Oreochromis niloticus: one gene and its partner. The protein of the gene in region 1 interacts with the protein of each later gene in a pairwise test. Links are inferred from orthologs where the notes say so. Each region holds a gene or a part of one and is shown in the gene's direction. Other genes may lie near its edges.

Region 1 (7,649 bases):
CCCGTTGGCTATTCTCACAGGAAGTGACACCCCCCCCACACCTTCCCTGTTATGTGACAGATGCGTTTGTGCTGCAGGACAAGTATACCTGTACACACCCCAAGTTACTGCCTAAATAAAGGTCCACCCTGGCCCCAGCAACATCTGGAGAGTTCACAGCAGACGTCCTGTGGACCAGGTTACAGTAAACTGTGAGCCAGATGTGCCTGACACACCCAACAAATCTGGATCTTTAAGGTGGACTCTGCAGGAAACTGCAGATGCAGGGCACGTCTGGGCCAAACCGCTCTCTGAGAGAGTTCTCTGCTTGCTGGTTACCCGAGCCCTCATCGGCGGGTCTGCGCCAATAACATCTGCAGCGATGCCAGATGCGGGCGGAGCTAAAAACAGGTTTCTGTGCTGCAGGAGAAAACTGGTCGCATGCTGTTTTCAGCACCGTGAAGTGAACCCGGTCCTGTTCTTCAGAACTGGAGCTTTTTGTTAGACATGTACCTTCACTGCCCCACCTCCCCCTGCCCCGCTGCTGCTTGGAGACACTGAAACCCATCAGAAGATGTCACTTCCTGTGTCAAAATGGCATGTAATCAGAGCAAGACGTTTCCTCCCGTCACCTGAGCTGAACAGTGATTCACATCTGATTGGATTCACTTAAAATTTTGACATGTTTTTATTTTCAGCGATGTTGTCCCGTCTGCGTGAACTGAGCTGCCATCCCTCCCCGGTTCCACTGATGGTTCGCCTGGCTGTGCTCACAGGTAAAGTTCACACAGAGTACACTTTTGACCAGCTTAAGTTTTCTGTCTTTGTGTCATGTCAGCTGATCCCACAGCGCCTCAGAGCGTCGCGCCTGGTAAGAGATCAGTGGCAAAGTAGCATCACTGCCCGTGTGTGTGTGTGTGTGTGTGTGTGTGTGTGTGTGTGTGTGTGTGTGTGTGTGTGTGAGAAAGAGAGTCCTGAAAGCCATAGCAGCAGAACAACATAAAACCAGCTGTGAGGGAGCTCACCTGCCTCAGGTGCAATCAGAAGACTCGCCTCTTTCAGATTTTTAAACATTTAGTGTCAGCTGACCACCATCAGTCACGTGTTTCTGCGTTAAATCTACGCCATAGCATGACGAATCCTGACAAATGCAACTACACATCGACGCAGCCCATGATGAGTGTGATCGGTGCAGCTGTTTCCAACTTCTTCTGCCTCACACAATTCCTGATTCAAGAAAATCGACTGGCAAAATCTCCTGCGCCAACTAGTGCCCTGCATCTCCGTGCTCTACATCTATTAGGCTGCAGAGCGCCTAATAGATACATGAATCATGCTTCACTGCGACAGCAAGGCAAGAACACTCAGCGGTCCTCTGGATATCGGTGGTGGCCTTGCAAACTGACACATGACTTCAGGAAGTGAGGTCATCATGTGAGATCAACGAGCCAAAATGTTCCAGTAGAATATGAATTGATGAGCGTCTGACTCCATTACAGACGGTCAAGTGACTGATTTCCAAACTGAGTTCTGCCTCTCAGACGAGGCTTGGGATGGCATTGTATTCTGAAATGGATGGGCTCTTTGATCACATGATGTGACGTAAGATCAGTTCAGAGTTCGGGGTGGTCCCGCTGATTTAAAGCCAAAACTGAGCTCCTCCAACAAAACCTACAAGAAACCTAATCCTGCAAACGGATGACACAGACATAGAATGCACCTCCACACGAGTCCCCAGACACCGCTGCCTACACGCCATGTGACAGTAAGAGCCAGCAGTGGAGTGAGCTTGTGATGAGGTTACACAGTGGAAAAGCAGGACTTTGATCAGCTGTTAAAGATGTGACGGCGCCGTGCAGCTGCTGCAGTTACATTAAATTAGGGAATGACCTTTTTATATCCCATCATAAACTTCATCATCATCATCATCACACTTTTCCAGAAATATGCAGATAGGATTTTAAGAATACCTTAAAATGTTCAGGCTGGTTAAATCCTCAGTTTCTAATCACAGCCCAGCTCAGAGTTTACAATTTTAAATGCTGACACATTGTTTTTTCCCCACTTTCAGGTCAATTGTGATATGCAGTTTTTCACGAGTTATTAATAAGAAGAGTATGCCTTAATCATGTTATTACCAGAACAAGTCATTTACACTCTGATCAGCTGGTTGCTGTTCACAGGAAGGTCTCAGGGCTCAATTTATCAGCCGACACGTGACAGTCTAGGTTCATATCTGATGTGTCTGCTGTCAGGTGTGTTTGAGCTTTGTGAGGTTAAAGGTCACAGGTCAGAAACCTACCTACTCTACTGATCAGTAATCAATAAAAATAATAATGTGATCACTGTGAAGGGTGGATAAAATAAATCTGGCCTCTGTCACCAGACTCCACTGTAAAAACCACTCAAATCAGAGCCCCCATCCTGTTTACTCTAAGTCCCCTCCGGGCCCGCAGGCACGCGGTGCGGGCTGTCAGTCACCGGCAGACAGGCCGCGAAGGAGCCACCGAAGTGGGAGCGAGCCCGTGGAAAGACCGGAGGGAGAGGCCGGCCACACCGCCGAGCTAAAATGGAGATTACAGCTCGGCAGAGATTAGCTGCTCCAAGCTAACCCCTGTTAGCGTGGTCCACACCGGAAGTTACGGTGATCGCTCCTCCAAAATGAAAACACAAAGCGTGACGAGGAGTGAGCGAGACCACCGTCAGGGCACCGCGTGCATCACAGCGCGTCTCAGTGACAGTCAGACATTCCCCGAGGGACCGTCAGTGAACCCGGAGCTCCTCCGGATGCTTCAAAGCTCAAAACTATTCGTTACGACTTATATTTTGAAAGTAGCCACCGGATGTGATGCGAATAAAACCGGGCGTTTACTGAGCGCTCTCTCTCCCGCAAACAGCCCCGCCGCCCCCGCACTGCCACCCGCATTCAGCACCGAGAGCAGGCCGCGAGCATTTCCTTCACCGCCTGCCGCCCAGGCGGCCACGAAGCCCGGGCACGGGCCCGTCCACTCACCGTGGGTCCCGGAGGCCGGCGGAGGGGCTGCTGCTGTGGGGTTCCCGGGCTCCGAAGGGTCCTCCGCGGACGGTTTGCTGTGGAGACGAAGGAGCAGCCTCTTCTTCTTCTTCTCCTCCCGCAGGATGAAAGCACTTCCGCAAAGCCCGCCGCGCCGTCAAGCCGCACATAGCGAGGAAGTCCAAATAAGGAACTTCCGGTCAGAGTGGGGCCCTTCAAAATAAAGTTAAATAAAGTTTTAACGTTTCAAAAATAAGTTTCTGCCTTGATGGTTCGTTTAAACTCCGTGCAACTAAGCTGACACCATGGGAACGTGTGGGAATGTGTCGCACAGTGAAAATAAAAAAAAAAGTAAAATGAAAAACTGTATCTGCTCAACCCACCAGCCACACACAGAAAACCTGCGTCACAGATACTGAAGTTGTAATAAAAAATTTAAGAACTTTAACCCAGCGGGACATGTTTAACTGCAACAAGCAGCAGTTCACAGGTGGGCATTAAATCATAATAAATATACGTTTCTGGCTTGGACGGGGCCTTTCACAGTTAAATAAATAGTGTCAGAATTTTGTCTTCATTGAAAACGACCACAGGAAACAAAGTCTGCTTTTATTTTGAAAATAATAACCGGAAGAACTTATTTGTTTTCTCTCTCGCTTGTAGGCTTGCGTGAGGCCTCCCGCCACCCACATTCAGTCAGAGAGCAGCAAGGAGGTCTCACTCTGAGCTGAGCAGGAGACTCCGCCTGAAGAAGCAGCAACGTCTCACTCTGTTTCGTCCACCCATCAATCATATACGAGGTGGCCCATACCTGAACGATCTCATCACTGCAGCTGCAGCACCAGTCCGTCTGTTTCAAAGTAGCCTGCGATTTGGAGGCAGCACCTGATGAAGCCAACAGTACCACATCATCTGCAAAATTCAGAGACAAGATGCTGGCAACGCCCAGATAATCTGCCCATCATCGGTGACAAAGGGCGTCCTAGGCGGAGCCCAGCACCCACCGTGTCCCACTCACTGCCAGGAATGTGGACCACACCTCACAGCATACCCGCTGTGGTCAGTAATAATCAGTACTGCTGATCATCTCAGTGAACACCAGCCTAAGAAAACATATTTACACAGGTTATGAGTCACTTCAGTCACCAATCGAGGTACAGTGGCCCAGCTGTGAAACAACCAGGTGTACACATATGTGCCTTAAACTCAGATTACTCTGAGAATACTCTGAGTTTCAGATTAGACGGAATATGATGGGGTTTAGTCCCTGAGCTGCAGAGCTGAGGCGTGTTTGTGAGTCTGTCTGCTGCACGGTGTCGGTGTGTGTTGTGTCACGTGATCGTGCCCCCTGCACGGTGTCGGGGTCTTATGCTGCTGGCTGACAGCCTCTGATCGGTTTCACTTTTTTTTCAGAAAATTATTGATGGCACGATGACGTCATCTTTCCTGCTCCGCGTTTATTAAATTACTGATCAGCCTTCGAACGTTTCTGACGGCTCACGTGACCGCCCCATTTGACCCATGTTCTCGCGAGAGGTGACGCGGCTCGTCGCGAGATCCTCTGCAGCAACAAATCGGCTCCGATTCTGAAGACGATCTGCTCGTTTCTGCGGTAAGGCGCTCATTAACGGCGCGCGTGCAGGACCCGCGCGAACACGGGATTGCCGGGCGGTGGGAGCGTGAACACGCGCCCGTGTGCGCGTGTGTGCGGAGGTGATGAGGACGTGCGTGTGGTGAATGAGATGAAGGATGGAGGATGCTGCGCGGCGGCGGGCGCGACGGCACGTGCACGCGCAGAGCTGGTGTGTGACTGGGTCGCGCGGGTGTCCGGTTTCCGGTGTGGTCGGGTCAGTTCGATGTGAACACCCCGCCCCTCCCCGTGCATGCGTACGTGTGTGTCAGGTGCAGGTGACCTTCACTGAGGTCAGAGGTGGCGTCTCCAAGTAAGCCTGACAGACTTAATGTGACGTCACAGGGTTAAACGACACCTTAAGAGTTTTTCAGGTCTGAATGTGAAACCCTGCTCTGTGTTTGTGTGTCTGTGTGCCTGTGTGTGTGAAAGTGTGCATGTGTGTGTGATTTGTGTTTCTGAGTGTGTGTGCGTGTGTGTGTGAGAGAGTTGCTGAAGATAAGATAACTCTTTATTGTCATTGCACACTCATACCTTGTACAATAGTACAATGAAATTGGAAACTCCCACGTCAGCACAACTAAAGACAACACAGTTACTTAAAGTGGATTTTTTTTCAAAGTGCAAGGAACCCAGACAGTGGCATGCGTGCGCCCCTGTAGGAGCTGCAGTTCCTCTGATGTCCCCCAGACGCTCCAGCAGTGAGCGGTAGAAGAGGCTCCTCCTCAAACAGAGGAGCTTCATCAGCTCTTTTAGTGAATGAACCTGCACCCACGCTCTGTTCTACAACATCGACCAACCACAGTGCACGAGAATCAGGAGGGCTCTACCTTGTGGCGTTATTCAGCACTTACACGTTAAGTACTTACTGAGCTAAAGCAACAGGATTATCGGTAACACAGCAGCAGCAATGGACTTGACCGACTAGAGATATATATATCATCTTCTATCACCACAGCTGCTCCTCTGCTTCGGTGTCACAGTGAAGTTCCTCCAACCTTCTCTGAATTTCTTCAAGACATCCTCCATCCTGTCGCACATTAATAAGTGTGTATGTTAAATGTATGCGTGTGTGCAGTGATGATGGAGGTCAGAGTGTGTGAGGAACCACAAACCGCCCAGACTGAAGTCCGAGTGTGAACTTGTTGGGCTCGGGTTTGTGTTTCAGACGGGGTCATGGAGGTGTCGTCGCACAGCCTCTTCCTGCTGCAGCAGCTCAACGTGCAGAGGGAATTCGGTTTCCTGTGTGACTGCACCGTTGCCATTGGAAACGTCTACTTCAAAGCTCACCGCGCTGTGCTAGCCGCCTTCTCCAACTACTTCAAGATGATCTTCATCCACCAGTCCAGGTGAGGGGTGGAACAGCGGCATTTGAACTCTGTACCTGAGTAGAAGTTAGTTATACACCTGTGCTTTGGGTCATCACACAAGTACAGACAGTATAAAAATGGGCATGTTTTCTGAGAACCTGAATTCTTTTAAATCCCCATCAGGTGGTGACTCCTCTGATGCTCGAATCCTTTGTCCTGATAAATTTGTTGGCTTCCTCAACCAGCTTGGGTTCCAGGTCAGAGAGGAGGATTATCTAGGGCAGGGGTCCCTAATCCCACTCCACAAGGGCCGGTGTCCCTGCGAGTTTTAGATGTGTCCTTGATCCATCACAGCTGATTTACATGGATACATTACCTTGACATGTCTTGAAGTTCTCCAGAGGCCTGGTAATGGACTAATCCTGTGATTCAGGTGTGTTGACCCAGGGTGAGATTTAAAACCTGCAGGGACACCGGCTCTCGTGGACTGGGATTGGGGACCCCTGATCTAGGGCGTGCTAAACGTACGTTCTTCAGTCAGATCTGCCGCTTGCTGTCATTGTGACGGGAGTGATGAAAAGGACTTCACTAACCAGCCGGTGACAGTCTCTGCGTCGATCCTGTCATGAAAACGTTACCAGACGACCTGCTGTTAGCCAGCTAGCTGTGAGTTAGCAGTGCAGCATGAATCCAAAGAGGGTTCGCTTGTCTGAAACCATGCAGCTGCAAATAGTTCAGCCTAGGGAGTTTGGATGAACTGGCCAACCTTATCCATTAAAGACAGGATTCTACTGCTTGTTGGCAGGCGCGTTAGTGTTAGCTAAGATTAGCCATGAGAAAGACAGCTCAGGATTGGATTTGCTCTCCACAACCAAACCGAATGTTAGCGTTAACTACAAACTTGGAGCTTGACTGGTCAACCAGTGGCTAGCTGTCAGCTACAAACAGATGCACTGTGAGGACATGTGAGGACAGTTTATTTGGCCTTAGCTTTTAGATGAACAGCGGTGTGTTTGATTTATAACACAACAAAAAAATAATGAATGAAATTTAATGTTTTATCCCAATTATTTTGTTTTCATAATTTTTAAGAAACAATCAAAAGGTAATTAAAATCCAAATATGATTGATCAGCCCTAAAATGTGTTTAAGGCTAGAATAATGCTGAAGGCTTGTACCGGTGTTTGTTCCTTTATTCCAGGATCTGGATCCTGTGATCCAGAATAGAGGGACAAAACTTTGGTCCAAACCTTCAGGAGAATATCGGTCCAAAACATCAGGATGCACATGCTGTTTTTTTTCCGAGGTGCTGACCTCATGTCTCTCTGTGTCCCCAGCGAGTGTATAAAGATCCAGCCCACGGACATCCAGCCGGACGTCTTCAGCTATCTTCTGCACATCATGTACACCGGTATGTGTCCCAAACAGCCGGTGGACCACAGCCGGCTGCAGGAGGGCATTAAGTTCCTTCACGCCTACCAGCTGTGCCGCAAAACTGGAGAGGGTGCTGCTGAGACTGCCAACAACGTGGTCCGCATGTCCAACCTCTATGGCATTCAGATCTCTTCCCAGCTGGCCAGCAAGGAGGGACCCGGAGTCCCCAAGACCACCACGGTGTCCCGCGGGGCCGAGGATGGGCGATCCTCTGACCGAGGGGCCCGGTCTCACTCCCAGCTGTCCCTTGCTGTCGGACTCGAGGGGGTATCGTCGGACCATC
Region 2 (7,541 bases), on another chromosome or scaffold:
GTCTGTGTCTGGGTGTTTGTCTGGCGCTGTGCGCCAGCAGAGACGACTCTGTAAACAAAAGCGATAGCCGCGACAATGCCCAGTCTGTGCTTCGGTTTTAACCAGCAGCTAACTCTAGGGATTCACATCTTGCATGTAAAAGAAAATAAAAGAAACATCCTGGACATCAGTCTGAACGCGTCTCATTCCGGGTAGATTTTTAAGACTGAATTAAGTAAGCAAATTGAATAAAATGTGAAAATATATTGCGCACTCTGAGCTCGTAACAAGGAGCTTCAACTGTGCACTTTTTGCTTAAGCTGTAAGGAACACACCACCTCTCTTGACTACACTACTTCATACCACCTACAGGTGGTGGTTTTTGCATGGGATGGGGTGGGGGTGAGGTGGAGGGTTCTGCTTTGGCAGGCATCACAGCTCATTAGCCCGCACAAGCTTCAACCTTAGAAGGCAAAAGGCCGCAATATCATTCTATGACATCTGTCACCAAGGTTTTGTTGCGTTTCTTTACAGCTGTGCTTCATAACGAAACCATTCTTTTTTTTTTTTTCTTTGCAGATTTCGAGCCTTCATATGTGATTAACTCCAGCTCCAAAGATGCCAATGGGGAGCCAAAGGATGGTGTTATGTCTGATGGTATGTGGGATTCAGAGAATGAATTTTGATTATATATCATACAAGATGTCGGTAATTACATGAGCACCATTCTCTCTTAATGTAGTTTGGCTGGAGGATGAGGGCATGGAGATCAAAAGACAAATCACAGGAATGATGAGGCTTCTGAGCGATAAGACCAGCAGAGTATACCAGCGTGCTGGTACAGAGCAGGATAGCTTAATAAAGGAGCCCCAGGAAAAGCCTCTGAACTGGGTAAATCAGCCTGCACTTTTATCTCTGGTGTCAGAGGACCACCAGAGCAACAGCTGGAACTCTGCAGAGGACCCAGGGCCTTCACCTTCATCCATATCCATCCCAGTCCCAAACGGCCCAGGCTGCGGCCAGTACAGCACACGCTCCAGAGCCCTCAGGATTCTCAACAGCACAAAGGATTTAATCAAAGTGAATGAAACTAATGGTAGGATATGCATGTTTGAAAGGAGAAAACTACTAAACAAACCTTAAGTTATTTGAAGAATAGTGAATTTCATTAAATATTGAGTGCTGAACACCAGAAGTGGCTTACACCTTTGTTGTTACATTAAAGCATGTTTGCACCTGTGTGCATATGTTAGAGTGAACGAGCGCTAACAAATGCATCCCTCATTTCCCAGCAGATGTAGTTCCTCCTACTGTGCCAGAAACCCCCTGCTGTATGTGTAACTGTAAGGGCACCTTGCAGGCTATTTTGCAGGAACTACGTGCCATGAGGAGGTTGATGCAGACTCAAAAAGGTTAGTAAATGAATACCAATACACACCCTAAAATAAAGAAATAAAACACAATATAATGTTTTTCTGCCTTTTAATAGCATCTTTAGAAAGGCAGGAAAGGGCAGCACCACCATCTCAACCTCGCCTAGGTGCAGGACCCAGTCCTCGCCACAGACCTCGAAAGAGGAGGCCAATCTATAGGATGACTCCGTTATCCGTGTTTAGCACCAGAAGAGCTGGTCTTGCTCCTCTGGATGCATCACTGCTAAAAGCTGCACCTATGGAATCTGTAAAGAGGCGAGAATGTGAGAAACAAGACTCATCTACACCCAACAATCATCCCATCTCCTCTGACATTCCTGTGCCGCCACCTCAGACCAACCCAGTGACGATCAACAACACCCCTCCTCTCCTGAACCAACTAAGGGAATCACAAGCATTAGAGGTAATCTGTACCTTAGTGTGGATGTACATATGCAGCAACATGTGTGCTTACCAAGCCTCATTTGCATGCTTAATTTGATTCAGGTACACTGCACCTGTCTTATGAATTTGAACGTGTATGTGTATTTGCATGTAAAAATAATTTGCAGCCTAAACTTTGCTTCTTTTGTGAAGCTCCATGCCTAAAAAAAAGTTTAAGTACCTTGATTTTTCCTTGTTTTTTGCCTAATGAGACATAAACCTTTGTGCAAACATTGCGGTTTATTTTACAGCACATCTATGATTCGAGCTAATGCTAGAAATGAAGATAACGTCTTCTTGCTTTTTCTTTCTAAAAACTCATTTATATTTCAACTGGTGATATTTATTTAATCCTTTACAATTAACACTCTGTGTTGCTTGACTCCTTCACAGTCTGAGGTGCGTCTTGCAGAGGATTATGACGTGTTTATCTCTAAGGCCCAGCTAGACTCCATTCTGGTCAACTATACACGCTCAGGCAGCCTGCTGTTCCGGAAACTGGTGCACGTCTATGATTTTTAAAAGCATTTTCTCCTGCTCTGATTATTTTATAATCGTGTGAAATGTCAACAAAGAACAAAAAATGCTGCTTGGTCAAGAGCTGTGCTGTGTGTTTAGGTGTGTGCCTTCTTTGATGACGCCACGCTGGCTAACTCCTTGCCAAATGGCAAAAGGAAGAGAGGGCTAAATGATAACCGTAAGGGCTTGGACCAGAACATTGTGGGTGCCATTAAAGGTAGGGCAGAGAAAGACAAACTAAAGTGTAACTACATTTCTGAGCAAACATTAATGTAACTATGGTGTGTGTCCAGTTTTTACAGAGAAATACTGCACTGAACACAAAATAGAGAAGTTGCCTGGACCACGAGACTGGGTTCAGATCCTTCAAGATCAGATCAAACTTGCAAGGAGGAGGCTGAAAAGAGGTTCTGCTGCTAAATCATTTAAATCATTTTAATATTTTCCCTTGATTAATGTGCTAGAGGAAGCCCATTCCTTTAACAGTACTTATAAGCCAGCTCATTTCAAGGCTAAAGAAAAGGCTGTCTGTCAATCTATGTTGTCTTTGGCTCTTCAGATGCTGTAGAAGCAGAAGACATCTCAAATGGACCATCCACAAGTATTAAACTCATTATTATGATTTTTACACTTAAGGTGTCTGCCACACGTGGGCACACACACAGACACATACATTAATTCAGTTGTCTGTTTTGACCATTTTCTGGTAGCTGGTTCCCTTCATGTCAGCCCTCCATCTTACAAAATCTTTCCATCAGCCCCCCTCTGAGTACACAATGGCTTTACCTCTCCCCACATCATTGTCACAGCATACACACACACACACACTCAAGCTGGTGTTGCCAGCTCGCTCATTGGCTCATCGGTCTTTGTCATGCTGTCACAGTGACTTTTGACATTTTCATGCAGCTTTCCAAAATGTCAGCTAATTATCCTCACACCATGCCGCATATCCACTCTTTCACCTCTATATTTCACCCTCATTGTCACAATAGTATTTCATTTTGTTGCCATGCTCATTCATTAAGACATCTTTTTGGTGATAATATATATCATTTTGACAATATTTTCTTCCTTCTTTTAAAGGCTGTGATAATAAACAGGCTGCAAGTGAAGAGAGGACAGCAGCGAACACAACTGGTTAATCCAATGGCTGCCACGATGACCTTACAGTAGAGTCTTGTCTTCATTATTTCTCTGAGTTGATGCATTTTGCCACTATTTGCAGCTGTTAACTGCTATGTGCTATGGATGTAAAGAGACATAAAATATGACCAAACAAGAATCCCAATGCAGTATTTGTGATCCAAAAGGCTTTTCATTGGGGCCACATTAAAACGCTGAGATTTGGAATTTTGTGAAAATAAACACTGAACTATACAGCGGTTAGGTAATGAGATCGGTCACTTACTGTTTACATAAAAGACAACAGCCTTAAAAGCTAACTTGTTTTATTTTCATGCAATTAAATAAAGATCAAACATCTCAAATGAGACTAAGTACTATAACAGTATTGCGTTCATTTATTTAGCAAAAACTAAACGTCACGGGAAGCTGTTCATTGTGAATTGTGCCTTTCAAGTAACTTTAGTGGGTTTAATGTGCAGTGCAGCATCCACCTTATATCCTGACATTACATCCAAATGCAAACATCTTGTAAACATGGTCCGATGTATTTCTTTTTGGGGCAAATTTTAACTCATTAAAAAAAATCTGCAAATTAACAATAGGTTTGCAGTCTACATTTGGTGAACATATAAAAATATATCACACACTATAAATGTTTTTTTTTTCTTTATTAGATTTTTAGGCTATGCATACCACTGCAGCTGGTGTCAATATTGTGATGGCATTATGTATTTTCCTTTCATTTTTGCTAACTGTACATATATTTAAAAAAAAAAGTTGATCCCACCATTAAATCTACTTTATCCAAAGTTGCTGTTCGTGTTTTATTTTTTTAATATATTGTGGAAAGTATAATTACCAAAACAAAGCACTCAAATATGTTAAAAGAAAAGTTTCAAATTTAGGCTAATTGTTATTAAAACATAAGCTAAAAATAATAAAATAAAAGTTCTTTTATCTTTTATTAGGGTAACTTTGAGCCAGGCAATGTTGTGTTGCTGTAGTTGCACTTGGAGGGAAACAGTAAATTAAAGGTACACTCCATTGTTGAGATTTTGTTGCCAGACTTCACAGCTCATTAAAGGGGATGTTGAAGCCGCCAGTGTGCAGAAGGAGGACCCTTTGAGATCTGGTTAGTTTCCTTCTTGCATTCTAAGTCACACATTTTTTATAAAGGTGAGCAGAGGTTGGATACATTTTTTTAAACACAATATGCTTAATTACTCGCGATACTTCGACAGTTTTATTCGCCTGGACCGATGTTAGAAGTCAAATATGTGTCACTTTTCGTCAGGCTTTCTCGCAGGGCAGCCGTTTGTAGCCCCGGTGCATGCTGGTGCCTTCCCCGCTCTTCTGTCGGGATCCGCCGCTAACGTGAATCTGGTAAGGATAAAATGGTCAGAGCAATTAAAGGGGAAATGTTGCAAGAATATACCTCCGCTTTGGTCCTAAAATCACATCTAGAGCAGTTGTAAACACTTCTATTGCACCGCAGCGTTACAAAGTTTGCACACGTAGCAGGTGCAGCGCGGTTTTATTCGCGTTGACGCTGATGTTGCACACATCGCATGGCGAGGGACAGGAAAGGGTTAATTTTTTCCGCCGCCGACATTTTTGTTCGGCGGTCTACGGCAACTTCTTAACTTACATGTGCTACGAGCTGACACTGCGACTCAACGCTACGCGTCACGTTTAGGTCGCAGTGTGCATCTTATCTGTTTTTAGATGTGCGGCAGGTCTTGGAGTGGGCTGCTCATCGGCTCTTTGTTACACAGAGCTGTTCAATGGCTCCTGCATGTAGCAGCGTTTGCTAGCAAGAGCTAGCAGCAGCAGCAGCAGCCAAAACTGCATTTTCAGCAAAACAAACAGACGTAGAGGGTGTAGCTGTCATTATCAACGCACGTGTCTTAAAGCTGAGCTACCGACAGTGTGTTATGCCGCTCACATCACACGGAATCACTCACACATCATTACTTTTATTGTTAGCCTGTGCCCAAGGGTTGAATGAACTTGGGATCATTGCTTGTCTTGAACACTACCCCACTATACCAGTAACGGGCCCCCTTCAGCAGCTCACGCCGGTTTATGTTAAAAACCAAGATTATAAGTAACACCCAACTTGCACGGCGTTTCAGTTTTATCAACTATATGGAACTTATTTTTAGGAACACAAAAGTTTATTACATTTTCAGTGATTGGAGAGTATGGGGGGAAAAGCCATTTAGGTGATGCCACATTCATTATTGTGCATTTCAATTTTAAAAGTATCCGACACCCCGTTGCCTTCAAAAAAAAGAGAATAAAATAATTATAAAAACTAGTATTTAACAAATTAAAAACATTTAATAACAGCTGTGCATTAAAATCACCATGCAGTTTTTATTATTTATTTGCAAACTTGTTTCAATCACAAAATACAACACGCCTGCAATAATATCACACTGATCTTTGAGTCATGTTTATAGTGGTAATTTCTAATGTACTTAGGTGTTCCTAATATTTTGTCAACAGAGCTCCGGGACAATATTAAATGTCACTTCACCGCGGAAGATTTCTATCATTGCAGCAAAAGAGATGCCATTGCATTATTTTGGTTGATTTATTCTTTCCAGCGTTGCTCCTACAGATGTTGTACTTGGCTCCGATTCACTTGAAATGTTGCACTGTTGTGTTGTGTCATTTGTGCAACTTAACATTTGCATGTATTTTCTTGACACACCCAGACACTGTTTGTAATCACCAGTTTTATTTATTTTTCATAATCATTGATGTGGTTCTAGTGGTGCGGACCCAGAGCTTCTTCAGATATGTCTGTGAGGGAGTCTTTTAACCCTGAAAGCTATGAGCTGGACAAGAACTTCAGGCTCACGCGGTTTGCTGAGCTCAAAGGCACAGGCTGCAAGGTTAGCTGTCCACACAAAAATCTGCCTTGAATGTGTTATTTTCTTTGCACAGATTAGTGAGGAAATAATGCATCGAAATTGTGGTAATTTTCTCTAATCACAGGTCCCCCAAGATGTGTTACAGAAGCTGCTAGAAACTCTGCAAGAGAACCACTATCAAGAGGATGAACAGTTCCTGGGGGCGGTTATGCCTCGATTAGGTAATTCTTAAACTCATATAGCACATGAATAGCAGTGCTTGCCCCCCCCCCTTTTTTTTTTAAGCATAGCAGAGAGATCATGTTGGGGCTCTTTTCAAAGTGAAACAGAAGTCATTGTTTGAGGTTAAAACAAGTTTTGTGGCCGGACTGGAAACCGTGTTGTATATTTAAAGCTTGTCCCACCTCCACTGGTGCTCAGAAATTAAAGGCAAGAAGTGAAACTTGACCCTTGGCTTTAAAATGGACAGGTCACAAGTGCACACACTCTAAAATATTTCATTAAGAGAGATTTTCTTTATGAAGGCATCGGCATGGACACATGTGTGATCCCCCTCCGGCATGGTGGCCTTTCTCTTGTCCAGACAACAGACTACATCTATCCCATTGTGGATGACCCTTACATGATGGTAAGTACCTTCCCTTCTTCATTAGCATTGTTTTTCTGGTTTTCTTTCATTAAATTACTTTGCATACCAAACCTGTATGTGATTAATTTTCATGATCTCTTTTCTATAGGGAAGAATTGCTTGTGCCAATGTTCTAAGTGACCTGTACGCCATGGGAGTTACTGAGTGTGATAACATGTTGATGCTTCTGGGAGTCAGCAACAAAATGTCAGAGAAAGTAAGACACATCTTGCTTAAATGAAGGTACACTTGCTGGACACTTTACTAGTACCGGGTTAGACATCCTATTGGCTTCGCAAATGTTTTAATTCTTCGAGATTCACCAAAGTGCTGAAAACATTTCTTGGGAGATTTTGGTCTATATTGACATGATGGCTTCACACAGTTGCTGCAGATTTGTTGGATGCACATCCAAAAATCCATCCAAATTTTGACTTTTATCATCCAAGTGTGGCACCACAAATTGAGACTCATCAGACCAGGCAACATTTTTCCAGTCTTCAGTTGCCCTGTTTTGGTGAATTTGTGTAACTGTAGTCTCAGTTTCCT

Evidence for each region. The genes of interacting proteins can lie anywhere in the genome.
Region 2: the proteins of zbtb25 (region 1) and sephs1 interact in binary tests that used the Homo sapiens proteins (3 or more experiments, as listed by UniProt). The two-hybrid records come from large-scale screens. The link is inferred for Oreochromis niloticus from reciprocal best matches to the Homo sapiens genes ZBTB25 and SEPHS1.

Annotation. Positions count from the first base shown.
Region 1 is NC_031980.2:25,892,469-25,900,117, forward strand, and holds the start of zbtb25 (zinc finger and BTB domain-containing protein 25), read left to right. Parts: upstream 1-4,638; 5' UTR 4,639-4,748; coding exon 4,749-4,794; intron 4,795-4,826; exon of another isoform or gene 4,827-4,935; intron 4,936-5,790; coding exon 5,791-5,971; intron 5,972-7,269; coding exon 7,270-7,649. UniProt on the Homo sapiens protein: May be involved in transcriptional regulation.
Region 2 is NC_031972.2:55,926,558-55,934,098, reverse strand, and holds the start of sephs1 (selenide, water dikinase 1), read left to right. Parts: upstream 1-4,538; 5' UTR 4,539-4,614; intron 4,615-4,639; exon of another isoform or gene 4,640-4,658; intron 4,659-4,776; 5' UTR 4,777-4,865; intron 4,866-6,262; 5' UTR 6,263-6,289; coding exon 6,290-6,385; intron 6,386-6,488; coding exon 6,489-6,585; intron 6,586-6,888; coding exon 6,889-6,992; intron 6,993-7,101; coding exon 7,102-7,209; intron 7,210-7,541. Other genes in the region: bend7 (BEN domain-containing protein 7), read left to right, coding at 559-636, 722-1,075, 1,272-1,391, 1,469-1,815, 2,229-2,336, 2,454-2,571, 2,648-2,761, 2,914-2,955 and 1 more. UniProt on the Homo sapiens protein: Synthesizes selenophosphate from selenide and ATP.